2 linked regions of the Canis lupus familiaris genome follow. The protein of the gene in region 1 interacts with the protein of each later gene in a pairwise test. Links are inferred from orthologs where the notes say so. Each region holds a gene or a part of one and is shown in the gene's direction. Other genes may lie near its edges.

What was found.
Region 2: the proteins of SSX2IP (region 1) and SHFL interact in binary tests that used the Homo sapiens proteins (3 or more experiments, as listed by UniProt). The two-hybrid records come from large-scale screens. The link is inferred for Canis lupus familiaris from reciprocal best matches to the Homo sapiens genes SSX2IP and SHFL.

The regions. Positions count from the first base shown.
Region 1 is NC_049227.1:63,794,046-63,797,858, forward strand, and holds part of SSX2IP (afadin- and alpha-actinin-binding protein), read left to right. Parts: intron 1-3,253; coding exon 3,254-3,404; intron 3,405-3,813. UniProt on the Homo sapiens protein: Belongs to an adhesion system, which plays a role in the organization of homotypic, interneuronal and heterotypic cell-cell adherens junctions (AJs).
Region 2 is NC_049241.1:51,360,609-51,364,865, reverse strand, and holds the start of SHFL (shiftless antiviral inhibitor of ribosomal frameshifting protein), read left to right. Parts: upstream 1-1,158; 5' UTR 1,159-1,288; coding exon 1,289-1,309; intron 1,310-1,751; coding exon 1,752-1,875; intron 1,876-2,061; coding exon 2,062-2,111; intron 2,112-3,729; coding exon 3,730-3,768; intron 3,769-3,935; coding exon 3,936-4,085; intron 4,086-4,257.

The DNA.
Region 1 (3,813 bases):
GTCGAACAATTAAAACATTAGATAGGTCTTCCCAGTGGGGACACTCTTGATGTTTTGGACAGGACACTCACTACTGTACCAGCTCCAGTCACTGGGACGACGACAACAAAATGTCCCTGTTTGTTTCTAGAACTTGGGAAATGATGGAGATGACTTTAGAAGGACTTAGTGCCAAACACTGTGATAAACACTTTGTGAGCATTGCCTCATTTCACTCTTCTAATTTGATGCTTTTCCTGTCATAATTATCCCCATTTTATAGCTGAGGAAACTGGGGCACACTCGTCTAATGAGTCCCAGTATCACACGTGACAGAACTAGGATTTAAATCCAAGTCTGTCTCACCCCAGAGTTCATGTTTCTAACCATTGTGCTGAGTATCCTCTTAATAGTTTAGGTATTCTGTACTTGAGCCGGCTTTACTTTTCAGAGTGAAGCATTAACTTTGGGAACCTACTAATCTTTCCAGAAATTTGCTGAATGTCCCTTACATTCTGCTCCCTGGAAAGAAAAAGCTAAAAGGATTTTGACTTCTTTCTTTGTCTCAATTGGGGCTCTTATAACAAACTACCACAGCCTGGGTGATTAAGAACAACAGAAATTTATTTTTTACAATTCTGGAGCTGGAAGGCTCAAAATCTGGGGGCCAGTAGGGTCAATATCTGGTGAGAGTACGTCTTCCTGACTGCACACTGCTGACTCCTTGTCCCCTCACCCTCACATAACAGGGGAGAAGAGCTCAACCAAGGCACTCACCCCATTCACGAGGGCTCTACTTGTCATGACTTCATCACTTCCACAGGCCCCACCTCTGACTACCCGCACCTCAGGCATTAGCATTTCACTGTGAATTTGAGGGAACATGAACGTTCAGTCCATTGCATCCTTCAGGAAGCTCTTTGGGGAGATGGGGCATGTGGAAAAGTGATTGTTACACATGTTAAAAGCTATAATAGGGGTGGTACAAGGTGTTGAGCAAAGTAGGTGTGGCAATCAGGGAAGGCATCACAGAGAACATGACATTTGAGTTGGCTCTTGAGAATAGGTAGTTGTTCCTGGGGTTAGGAGCATGTGACAGAGGGAATAATCCGTGCAGAGGTCTGAAAAAAGCAAGTCATGTAATGGTGAAAACTTCTGTTAACTTTACTGCTTTACATGTTTAGATTCTGGATTCAGCCAAGTGACTAAAATCTGAAAATAACATTGATGGGAAATGCTAATTATCAGCAAGTTATCAGAACTTGTTTTTTAAACCTGTATTATGGAATTATTTACCTTGTATCACAGATCAGTCTAACTGATAAGCCTACCCCACCTTCTATCTCTTTTTCCTTTTTTTTTTTTTTTTAAAAAAAAGAAAGAAATGTACCTTAATGTTCTTTTAAACTGTCCAGTTTGGGATCTGCTTGACTTCAGCCTTTTCTCATAGTCTGTCACTTTTTGTTCGTTGTGAACTTGCACAAATATATCTCCAAGGCCAAGCACAGTGTCTGTTATTCCTGCGGTTCCTTCAGTTTTTGGCCCAACCTTTACCATCATTACCTGCTTTTGTTTAGCAAAAGCAAGTAGTATAGTGTAGATCAAGAAGACCTTTCTCGGGCAGCCCGGGTGGCTCAGTGGTTTAGCGCCGACTTCAGTCCAGGGCCTGATCCTGGAGACCCGGGATCAAGTCCCATGTCGGACTCCGTGCATGGAGCCTGCTTCTCCCTCTGCCTGTGTTTCTGCCTCTCTCTGTGTGTTTCATAAATAAATAAAATCTTAAAAAAAAAAAGATTACCTTTCTCAGATGTTTAAATTCCCCCTCTCCTCGCCACTACAGCCAGTCGATAGTATCCTGTATAATTCTTAATAATTCAGATTTTACATGTGGAGAAACAATAATCGCTTCAGTATATTTTTTGTTTTTAAAGTACCTGTTTTTCTAGATCTTTTTTCCTCTTAGGATGTAATCCAATCCTTCCTTTTAAGGATTTTTGGAGCTTTATAGTAGGAGGAATCAGATATAACCTTAAAATGCTTATGTAGCCTTCAGGTTTCGTTAATTTATCATTGTGTTTAATTATAGCCAAACATATACCAAAAATTCAAGTTAAATTTTTATTTTCATGTTGTGGTTTCAGAGTATCTTTACAGTGCTCTGGTATGCTTTAACACGTAGGAGGTGTAGCTCCTTGGAAGAATTATTGGCAAGTAGCTCCAGAGGATTTTCTGGCAAGAACCAGAGTCACAGTGAGCTCTGTGCTGGGCCTTTCTCCAGCCTGCCCCCCACTCCCACCCCCCACACCAGAAGAACTCTGGCAGCCATTGCTCACCCGGGCCAGTGATACAGCTCTCCCAGCCGAGTCCCCCTCTCATTCCTGCTGCACCTGCCCATGGGAACGGTCTGATCAGCATTCCTTCATCTTTGACCTTTCTCCTTTTCTTTCCATGCATGATATTTTATTTTCATGTCAGGGAAATATATCTCTGTCTACTCTCCTGGATGTTAACAACAAATTTAGGACTTTGCAGATTATGCAGATATCATATATGTGTGTGTGTGTGTGTGTATATGTGATATACATGCAGATATATATGCAGATATATCTGCATATATATATGAAATATATATATTTATATATATAAGATAATATAATAATATTTATGTAGCTACAGATTATTTTGACATAATGTATTTTAGTACTGTTTCCCTGTGTTCTTTATCTTGTTTTGATTCTAGGTGATCCTATATCAGTGGTTTACAGTATTTTCCCATGTTTTAAGTGAAAAGAAAAATAATCTCTAGTTTTATTTTTCAAAATTATATGAGAAAAATAGGATTCACAGTTCCTTTTACTTTGTAGATAACCTCAGTGGTTTATTTATTTAAGCAGCCTCAGATTGGAGATAAATTGATCTAACTCCAGATCTCAGCTCTGCCTCTTGGGTGCATGATAGGGGGCAGTGTGTCTACTTCTCGAAGCATCACTTTTCCCACATTTGAGGATGAGTTAGCCTGTGAGAGCTCTAACACAGCACTGGGCAATAGCAAATAACTCTTCCCCACACAGCTCCAGGACTCTTCACTATCATATTTGGATTCAAATTCATATTTGAAGAGACTTGAGTTGCAGAGTTTGTCTTCAGTTATATATGCATACGATATGGCACAAATGATTTTGGTATCTCTGATAATCGGTTTGATTAGTACTGCCTGAGTATCTAGAGCCATTTGAAGATACTGGTCTTTCCTTTTCATCTCTCTTGCTTGTAGGTTATCTCTGATGCTGAAGAAGATGCTGGGGAACTGAGTAGAGAGAGTATGTGGGACCTTTCCTGTGAGACTGTGAGAGAGCAGCTGACCAACAGCATCAGGAAACAATGGAGAATTTTGAAAAGTCATGTAGAAAAACTTGATAACCAAGGTAACTTACTACCGCAGTGCATGCCCAGTGAGTTGTGACACTCCGCTCTTAGTGTCAGTCACTTGGAACGCTACGTTAGGGGCTCAGACCCTGAAGCACTTGAGCTCAGTTGGGTGGGTGGTTTGATAATCAAGCTTCTGTCTACTTTTAGAGGTGAGGTTTGAACCTCATCGAGAAATACTTTGTCCTCAGAGTGAATCTCTCTCTGAAAAGAGGACACTACGTATCTCCATCTCTTCTGAGTACAGTATGTATTTGAATAAAGTGAAGCAAGTCTCTTACCAATCTAGAAATTAAGATTTGTTAATTGTGATAGGTATAAATATGAACTTGTCACTTATTATTCCAAGATATTTGTATACTCCTAGGTTGCTAATTTATTTTTAACTTATTTTCAAAATAATAGATG
Region 2 (4,257 bases), on another chromosome or scaffold:
TTCCTCCCTGCTTGTCACCCACCCTGGCTGCGACCTCCTTCTCCTCACTGGTAAGTGGAGATTATGTACTATATATCACAGATACGTGTATAACAAGAGAGCCCCTCCACACCTCCCCACCTCCCTCAGTATAAAATCCCAGGTCCTCTATGCAGCTACAGGCCTGGCTCTCAGCCTGAAATTCCACATTCAGTCACAAAGAACCATGAACTGTTTACACTCATTAATAGGCTCCAGACGGGGCACACAGACCCACAAACAAAGCTTTGGAGGTCAAGTAGAAAACATTAGAACATCTATACTTTTTCATCTCCGTTTCTTTTGGTGTGTGTGTGTGCGTGTGTGTTAAAGAATAGCTTTATGTAATAGGGGCCTCTGGCTGGTTCAGTGGGTGGAGCATGTGACTCTTGATCTCAGGGTCACGAGTTCAAGCCCCACCTTGGGTGTGGAGCCTATTTCAGGGGAAAAAAAAAATTGTGCTGGCCCAGAGGATTCTCAACCTTCCGATTTACAGTGCAGATTCCCAGGCACCCCTGGACTACAGGCTGTTGCTGGACTGCTAGGCACCAGTGACCTCTATTTATCCAACAAGCATCTCCTCCTTCGCCCAACTACCTCCAGCTGTGGCACACAGTAGGCGGCTTAGTGACTCGTTAGGCTACCCCATGCCAGGTGCTACTAAGCGCTCCACCCCGGGTCTCGAATCCTGGCAATCACACCCAGCCACGATGTAGCCGCTGTTATCATCCCCATTTTACAGAGGAGTAAACTGAGGTGCAGACAGGTCCGGACGTAGCCGCGGAAGAGCCTCAGAGCGAGGAGGGGCCCCAGGTCCCGAGGGAGGGGAGCTGCGAGAGCGATGAAGTGGGGAAGCGCGAGCTGGGGGGGGCCCGGAGATTCGCGGCGGCCTTGCGATGCGGCCCCGCCCCCACGAGGGACGTGAAGACGCGGACCCCGCGCAGCGTGGGGACATGTGACCGACTGCAGAGGCCGCGCCGCCTCCACCGCCCGAGGCCCGCGCGCTCCGCCGCAGGGTGCAGACCCCCGGCGCCCGCGGGGCCTGGGGCGCGAGGGCAGAGGCGGAGCCGGGGCGGAGCCAGAGCGCCCCGTCCACGCCGTCACCCCCAGCAATCGAAAGCGAAAGAGGGGGCCGAGAAGGAAGGGCGGAGCCGCCCGGAGGCCCCGCCCCCTGCCCTGCGCGGCTGCTGGACCCGGGCGCGCCCAGGTAGGGGGGCTCCGAGCGCGCAGTGCGGCCCCTCGCGGAACCCGCGCCGCCGCCGCCGCCACCATGTCTCAAGAAGGTGTGGAGGTAGGAGATGCCTGCGCCTGGGCCGGGGGCCCCCGAGAGGCGCCGGGGGCGCCGAGGGGGCTTCGCAGTTCTGGGGACTCCATCCGAAGCCCAGACCTTACCCCTGGCGGGCACTCGCCCCCCCTCGGAAAGGATAATGACCGCCCCGGCCCCCCAGAGTGAGATGCGGCCTCCTCGAGGAAAAGGGGGGCTGCAGGGTCAAGGGTCAGAGGCCAGGTTACCTGGCCGGCCTCCTCCCCTAGCCGGGGGCGCTCGCCCCACTCCGCTCCCTCCCCCAATGCCCGGTGGGGACTTTGGCTTCTCCCAGGAAATGCCGTAGAGGGATGGTGGGGGAGGCCAAAAGCAAGGGTCAAGTTCGGGCGGGGAGAAGGATGCCTAGAGATGGAGGAGGGCAAGTCGCCCCTCTCCTTCCCCGATCGGAACCCCCCTGTGCCCACCCCAGCTGGAGAAAAGCGTCCGGCGCCTCCGGGAGAAGTTTCATGGGAAGGTATCCTCCAAGAAGGCGGGGACTCTGATGAGGAAATTTGGCAGCGACCACACCGGAGTGGGGCGCTCCATCGTGTACGGTGAGCCGGCTGGGGTCCCGGCCCTGGTAGGGGAGAGGAGGGGGGAGCGCGCGAGGGAGGTGTGGTCTGTGTGAAGAAGCGCCGCGCTCATCTTCTGGGGAGGGTCTATATTGGGGTTCTGGGGACCCTGAAACTCCCAGAAGATCCTTCAAGGACCTTTTACTTACACTTAACTCTTGCCACCAGGGGTAAAGCAGAAAGATGGACAGGAACTGAGTAATGACCTGGATGCCCAGGTAAACTGCCCCTCTTGCCCTCCAAGGATGGGGTAGCTGGGGACCGGGAACGGAAGGAACCTGGTGTATCCATGATGAGCCCCATCTGTGCACCACCAGTTCCTAGTTCATGATCCACATTGACTTAGTCACCTTTTAGTCATGCGTCTGACCCGGGAGCCTGCAAACTGTCGGCACTCATTACATGTTGGTGGTATTAAGTGGGGGAGAGAATCGTGAAATTGGGCGGTGAAATGAATCAGGACTGATGTCATTACAGAGGACCCCTGGAGGTCAGTCGGGAAAGGCTTCCTGGAAGAGGTGGTGCCAGCTTTGATGCTGGGGAGAAGGGATCCTGGGTGGTGGGGGAGTTGGAAACAGTCTTCCTGGAAGAGGGAACAGAGTGAGCAAAAGAACACGCAAGACAGGCTAAGATAAACATGAGATGGGGGAGGAGAGAGGGCAGGGGAGCCCATATGATGAATGAATGGCTTTGAGGCACAAATGCAACATGGCTACTTTACACCTTAAATGACTTTGGTGGCCAGTGCACTGTGCATTTCATCTTCCTATAAGGCCCCCCCCATAGTTGCTGAAGAGTATAATAAGGTACATATTGAGTTATTTATATTTACATGTGTAAAGGGTATGATAAAGGTAATAGGAGGGGCGCCTAGCTGGCTCAGTCTGGGGAGCATGCTACTCTTGATCTCAGGGTCGTGAGTTCAAGCCCCACATCAGGTGTGGAGCCTACTGAAAATAATTCTTTAAAAAATTATAGGAGGGACGCCTGGGTGGCTCAGCGGTTGAGCACCTGCCCCTGGCTCAGGGCGTGATCCTTGGTCTCAGGATCGAATCCTACATCGGGCTCCCTGCCTGGAGCCTGCTTCTCCCTCTGCCTACGTCTCTGCCTTTCTCTCTCTGTGTCTTTCATGAATAAATAAATAAAATCCTTTAAAAAATAATAATAAACAAATTAAAAATAAAAGTAAAAAATTATAGGAAAGTGAGCACTCCCCAGCAGCAGGCTTTCCGCGTGTTGCCTCCAATTCCAACCTGAAGGCACTCGCCAAGCAGGCCAAGCAGGTGGCATTTAAGCCGTTTCCACCTAGAACCATAGCTGCGCTCTGAGATGCCCCTCATTAGGGATGCAGGGGGAGTGATTTGGCTCCGCCCTCGCAGCGGGAAGTGCTGGAGTCGGATGGGAACCTGTGTCTGTCTGAATCCAGAGCCCAAGCCCTTAGCCTAAAGCGGCATGGACTCAAAGAGGTGACCCCTCACAGTGCCACCAAGTGTGTGGCATTTACCAGCAGGGAGGGAGCGCGGGGATCCAGGCCTCTTCTGCCATTCTCATTCAGGGTGATCTCCGGCCACCCCTCTCCCAGCTCTGCCTCAGTTTCTTTGTCTGAGCGGTGGGGATAATAGGTGTGCCCTCCACTGTGAGGACAACTGAGGTCGTGTACCTGGCCATCTACAGGCAGGCCCTGCTCAGACAGCCCTTCCTGAGTTAGGGACTCCCTACTCATATGGGGCCAGGACCCTGCCTCCCTCCTCGTCCAGGAGCCTCACCCCCAACAAATAATGGTAAAAAGAGGTCTGAGCTGCACCCGCAGTTCCTGCCCCTGATGTTTCCACCCAGGACCCACCGGAGGACATGAAGCAGGACCAGGACATCCAGGTGAGTCCGGGGTATGGGATGGGGGGAGGTGGAGTGAGGAGGACATCCTTGGGGAGAGTGGATGGTGTCCATGGACGAGGAGAGACATTATAGCAGCAGGAGAGGAGACTTACGCGTGTTCATATTAGCGGAGGAGGCGTGACCACCCTCTTGTCCCTATCCCGAAGGCCGTGGCGACGTCCCTCCTGCCACTGACAGAAGCCAACCTCCGCATGTTCCAACGTGCGCAAGAAGACCTCATTCCCGCCGTCGATCGGCAGTTTGCCTGCTCCTCCTGTGACCACGTCTGGTGGCGGCGCGTGCCCCAGCGCAAGGAGGTGATCACCCGATCCCCATCCTCAGTATCTGAACCTCTGACCTAAGAATGTCAACCCCTGAGAGCCCAACCCCTGACCTACAGTCTCAGAGCGTTCAGCCTCCACCTCAGGCCCCAGCCCTCCGACCCTGGTCGCGCCCAGAGCCCGACCTCTGACTCCACGCTGCCATGGA